Kluyveromyces lactis: one gene and its partner. The protein of the gene in region 1 binds, or shares a complex with, the protein of each later gene. Links are inferred from orthologs where the notes say so. Each region holds a gene or a part of one and is shown on either strand. Other genes may lie near its edges.

Region 1 (3,396 bases):
CCTTATGACCTAACTTGAGAGAAATTTTCCACAATAGCCATATATGCAAATCGAGAACTGTCAGCCCATCGTCTTTGTATAATTTGTTCAAGTGCAACAATTTCGGGATTGCCATTTCAGGGAAAAATTTCCCGCCGAAGTGGCATAAGATTGATTCGTCTGTAATATTGTTGAGATATTCCGTCTCCTCTATAGCTGCTGAATGCATCCAAAAAATGATATCGTGATATCTACCGTTCTTGTCATGAATCAAATTGAAGGGAATTAAGTTCTCATCTTTCTGTTTCCCAACCACCATCGAACAAGTTGCTCCTACACCCAATGAACAAATGTTGTACTCCTGGATATATAAAGTATTGAATGCTTTTTCTACAGCAGTTAAAATATCAGAGGTACATTGGGTAATGATCCCATTTCCATGCCTAAAATAAGGGACTTTTTCTTTCGTTTCCTTGACTAGGCTATCAGTATAATAATCAAAAATACCTATTCTAAACTCGGTAGATCCCAGATCGACACCTATCCCAACATCTTGCATATCCACAGGTTCTATATATGATGTTTAAGTTCTAATTTCTCGATTATACCATCACTTTCTGTATTCTTTTAGTTGATCATTATAAGATGAAGGTTGATAATACGAGATGAATAATTCTTTTTCTTTATATAGTAAAATAGATTTCTGAAGAAGTGTAGATCAATTGCAAAAAAGTATTATACAAACGCATGTTCTACTTAAATCATAGGGATAAGCTACCTTCTTGGCCCTTTACCTCTTCTAATCATTTCTGGTAGCTTGAATGGTACCTTCAAAGTTGCTATTTTATACGTTGAGGCAGAAGACTTTGGAATGCCAAAGGCTTCAGCTTGAGCTACAGTAGCACCCTTAACGGTAGCACCTAAGATTTTGAAGAGACTGACAAGCTTGGAAGGCTTTAAGTTTAGTTGTTGAGCTAAAGGTGGGACTTCAACAATGAAGTTATCCAAATGCATAATAATTACCAAAATATAACATAGCAATTTGTCCTCCCTCTGTGGATCGATAAAGAATGACTTATCTTTTGATCTACCAAATTGACCAGGTCTAGAGATGGTAAACCTTTCCAAAATGCCATTTAATAGGGCATCTGGAGGGTTGTTTATTCTTTCCAATAATTTTGTCTTGTTGTTAACTCTTCTGTTATCGTACACCCCAGCCAAAAGTGATAAATAATATAGTAATTGCAATTTTTGCATTTGTGCTGCTTGTGTTAGAGTTGGCAACTTGTTAGCCACATATTGAAATTTAGTGTATGGGAAATATTCTAGCCTCTTTTCTGGGTCTTGCTCTTTCATGATACTGCCAACGCGAATAAATGACCATTCCTTTTTGGGTATTATGTTGTATAAAGGATAAATTTGTTCCACATCTGTTGCGTCTAAATCAGCCAACGGAGTTGGTCTATCAGAAGATACAGTTTCTTGCAGTTCTTCCTTTGAAGGCAGTTCTTTCGAAGCAGTCTTCACTGTGTCTACAATATCTATCGCAGAATCAACCAATTTGTCTGAATCAATACGGTTTCTTTCCATATCAGCAATGGCCTTCTTTGCCTTCTTAGTACCGAACGCCTCACCTAAAGCGTTTCTCATCAATGCAGCACGGACGTTAGCCTGTTTAATGTCAGGTCCCATTAGGTTCTTTCTAGATTTGGAAAGAACCTTGCTGGATACCAGTGGTGCCTTGTACAATTCTACAGACTTCGTGGCGGCATCATAAACACCAACAACATACTGAGAAGAATTAACAAAATCATCGTCAGTCTGACCTTCATATTCTAGTCTATCGTTTTCACCATGTAACACGTATTTGTCGCTGTTCTTCTTGTTCTTATATAGCTCGAAGGTGGTATCTTTTGGTGCCTGGAAGCCCTTAAAGAAGCTACTTACAGCAACAGATGGTTCATCATGATAAGCTGAAACACCAACCTCAGTGAATGCACGTTTGGAACCCATCTCCACACTCTTAGTTACTACACAGTCAGCTTATTTCGGACCTTGGGATACCTTTCAATGATGTACTAATTTCCCAATATAGTTTGTGATCGATGCTTTACATCTCATCTCATCGCATATCCAAAAATTTTTCGATCAAGGAAAAAGAAACAAGAGTCATGTGACCGAACCATTGGATTATTGAGTTGGAAAGACGAAACTTCGACCGTTTGCCAGATTAATAAATGCCTTTTATAGTACCTCGTTACACCAAGCTTAGTCAGGACGCCTTACTTTTTCTGCTGCATGTTAAACCTGCTTTTTCATAGATTTCTGTGTTGTATTTCGTTCAATGCTCTGTTAGAGGCGATGAGGTTAGCTTTTGATATTTCATTGAAATGTTGACAGACATCAACAAAAAGCTATGTCAGCACTTATACCAAGTTGAGTGGTTCTGTAGCAGAACATCCAGTTATCATAATGCAACGATCCTTCTATGAAATTTTGGGCATTGAAAGCGATGCCAGTAATATCGAAATTAAAAGAGCTTATAGGGCCATGTTACTGGAAACACATCCTGATAAATCTGGATTGAATTATAATTCCAACGGAAACAATACATCTAGTCATTCTGTTACTGATATCCAGGAAGCTTACCAGACCCTCATTGATCAGGATTTGAGGAAAAAATATGATGAGGAACTTGCTGAATCGTTCAAGAAACTTGGCTTTCACAATGCAGGTGATGGTCTAGATCTTTTCTCTCTAGATCTGTTCGATTACAGCGGAGATGAACAATCTTTTTCGATGAATTGTCCCAGGTGTCAAATAACTGATGGGTTCCAATTAACCGAAGATGCTTTGGAAGAACATGCGATAGATTATGAGGGAGGTGGATATTTCGTATTGGTGCAATGTTCGGCTTGTTCACTATGGTTGAAAGTCTTATTTGACGTTATGGAAGAGTGATGTGACATATCAATTATGTTTTCACAATTAAAACCTGAAGAACTTCCTTATATTGTATCTATTGTGTCATGAAAAATTCACACTATTTACAGGTATGTTTCTTTACTTATGCATACTAAGAGCCACGTCAAAAAGCATACTGAATGTATCTAGATTTTTACGGTTCTTTCTCCGTATTTGTTTGCTCAGCGTCCAATATGGAAATGAAGGCTTTAGAGATAGCTTCAAAGTCTGTCATGAGGCTTACATGTGGCATTTCGCTAGCTATCTTTGCTACAATAGGAAAGCCGCATTTTTCTGGAAGTAACCACTTGTGATGTACAACACCGTCACCAGGTCCGTAATAAAAGTCTTGATACAGTCCTTTCTTTATCTCCTCCCGATTTTTAACCTTGGCACCTCTGACCGTCGGAACCCTATCACCATATACTATTGCTAGCGGCGGATATGTCTTTT
Region 2 (2,654 bases), on another chromosome or scaffold:
CAGCCACGAAATACCGTATCCTAGTTTAACGACAGCTTGTGGAAAAACCGGTCTAAATGATTCACCAATATCGGAAGTGTACGCGACATATCTATGTGCTGTTAAAGCGATAGTTCTCAATCTGCTCGCATAGGCTGCATAACGGATATTGGAATCTGTAGAGTCCGGGAACTCTTCGTCATTAATTGGATCAGACTTCTGAACCGGTATATCCGTATCAGTTTCTACCATGTCTATTATCTCTGACATTCAACTTGACTGAATAATGCACCCTTGCCTATCGCCAAAGAATCAAAAAAAATATGGATTGAACACTAATAACCCCTGTATATGGGTAACCTAACAAAATAGACCTTCTTCTATATTTATATATCTACTGCTAATATGCTCCTTCAACGCCCGTCTCGAATATTTTGCCATCAACTGGCAATGGCCGAACCCTATTTATTGAGGTCATTGGATCCTAACTTTTCTATTTTCGAGAAAAAAGACGGCTTTAACAGTTTCTATGGTATCTCCTCTTATACAAAGAAGCACAGAATTGAAGAATCCTCGAGCAAAAGAAAGAGCAACTTCGTTATGCTGTGGTGACTGGAAGTAAGAACAGTTTGAAGATAGGAAGCTAAGATGGAAAGTTAAAAATGCATTAATATATGAGGAGAGGTGTAAGTAAAGGCCGTAGCTTCCGGAGGAGTGAAGAACCAGAGCTTTGACCTGAAAGTCTATTATACAGTTGTCGGTTTTCTATTTTGACTATGATATATAGTACCCACAAGATTTCTTACTTACGACACAATAAGTAAGCGTTTTCTTGTTTCAAGTTGTTCAAAAGTCTATAATTTCCCTCAAGTCTCATCAACAAGCCACCAAATGAATAGTATACTGCAAGCAAATCCTTGTTACCCTTAACTTCTTCGAATTTGTAGGCAGTTCCGTACATGACATAGTCATAATCATCTGCAAGAGATCTGGTTCCAGCAGGTGGTGCTCTCCAAGAGGTACCCTGAGGTTCCTCCGATCCGTCAAGTTGGAGAGAAGTTGTGATCATGACTGCAAGTTGATCTTGAGTCTTTATTGGGAACAATTCACTGTTGATATCCAATGTTAACTTACAGGATTCTTGTGAAGTCGATTGAGCTTCAATACGAGAGACCTTGTTGTATCTTCCTGTGTCCACTTCTTGAACGGTGAAAACGTCATCAAATAGTGCCGATGACATGACGTGTGTTGGTAAATGAGAGTACTGTTGTGTTGGTTCTAGTTATTAAAGTCGGTGGGCCAGTAGGAACACAAATGAGAGACGAAAAAGAAGGGAACTTATCGGAGAGTCTGTAGTGGGTATGAAAGGTTTCAAACTAATAATTTCACTGCTGATATGAGACTATCTACAGTGAGCCGAATCGAAAGCGCATCACATGTATATGATTGTCTGTCTCTCAGTTGTTCCTTCAGGCGATGAGTTACAACGAAATTTTTCAAGATTTTTCTTGCCCATGAAAAAAATATGTGTCCGGGTAAAAGAAACAACTTCGGGTAACGCTAATCAATTTGCCATCCCTTAGAAGTCCGAAGAATCCAGGATACAGAGAGACGGTCCGCTCAACTCTGCAACTAGTTGAAACGCTTGTCGGAACAGTCTGGATGATTATAATACAAATGATGAATGAACCTACATGTTAGTTATACACTAGATAACAACTGTTGTAAAAAAAAGGGTAGCCAAAAAAAAAAAAAAATTACGAATCATGGGCAGTTGATAAGGCACGATAAATGGAAGTACCTAATCTTGGAATTTAGCTCTCCTAGATAGCTTTCAGAAACTGTATGATATATTCGGAAAAATATAGTGTTCGATTTAACTTTGTAGTGGAGTTAAAATGCGAGGGAAAATCGTAAGTCAAACCAAAAGAATTAAGGGAAAGACGAGTATGCTAAAGTCCATTCAATGGACAAATGAAAGTTTGAGCCGGAGAAGCAATAAGAAAATTAGAGATTAACTAATTAATTTAACTCTTAACTCTAACACTCTATTTCAACTGTGTTGTAGGTCTCTTAGCCTGGTAATCCTTGATGGCAGCCTTGATGGCATCTTCAGCCAACATAGAACAATGCAATTTAACCGGAGGTAAACTCAATTCTCTGGCGATTTCTGTATTTTTAATCTTTGCTGCATCTTCCAAGGTTTTCCCACGGACCAATTCGGTCATGTATGAAGAAGAAGCGATGGCAGACCCGCACCCGAACGTCTTGAACTTAACGTTTTCTATCACTCCTGTTTCGTCGTTAACTTGGATTTGCAATTTCATCACATCACCACAAGCTGGGGCACCGACAAGACCCGTTCCAACATTTGGCAAATTCTTGTCTAGAGACCCAACATTTCTTGGGTTTGTATAATGATCAATGACCTTTGGATGGTAAAATCTAGCAGAGGCCATGGAAGGACTAGAGCCGACGGTAGGAGCAGTTGCTCTAGCAGCTGCTACACCGATTATTCTAGTTCCGCCTCCACCGCCGTGCATTAGTGCACTTCCCATCCTCTGTACTGCAAACATTTGTCCTCTAAACATTTTTAATTATGTGTATGTGTTTTGAATGTTGATCTGTTATCCTGAACTACTAAACCTTGATTCAATATCTGGATTATTGAAGAT

Evidence for each region.
Region 2: RPA49 (region 1) and RPB8 share a complex: the UniProt entries of both Saccharomyces cerevisiae proteins name them as parts of the RNA polymerase I (Pol I) complex. The link is inferred for Kluyveromyces lactis from reciprocal best matches to the Saccharomyces cerevisiae genes RPA49 and RPB8.

What each region holds. Positions count from the first base shown.
Region 1 is NC_006039.1:266,218-269,613, forward strand, and holds RPA49 (DNA-directed RNA polymerase I subunit RPA49), read right to left. Parts: upstream 1,993-3,396; coding exon 754-1,992; downstream 1-753. Other genes in the region: MPA43 (Mpa43p), read right to left, coding at 1-538; JJJ3 (Jjj3p), read left to right, coding at 2,452-2,940; KLLA0_C03003g (uncharacterized protein), read right to left, coding at 3,098-3,396. UniProt on the Saccharomyces cerevisiae protein: DNA-dependent RNA polymerases catalyze the transcription of DNA into RNA using the four ribonucleoside triphosphates as substrates. Component of RNA polymerase I (Pol I) which synthesizes ribosomal RNA precursors.
Region 2 is NC_006040.1:610,321-612,974, forward strand, and holds RPB8 (DNA-directed RNA polymerase core subunit RPB8), read right to left. Parts: upstream 1,220-2,654; coding exon 782-1,219; downstream 1-781. Other genes in the region: KLLA0_D07117g (mitochondrial fission process 1 family protein), read right to left, coding at 1-249; putative iron-binding protein ISU2, read right to left, coding at 2,028-2,570. UniProt on the Saccharomyces cerevisiae protein: DNA-dependent RNA polymerases catalyze the transcription. of DNA into RNA using the four ribonucleoside triphosphates as substrates.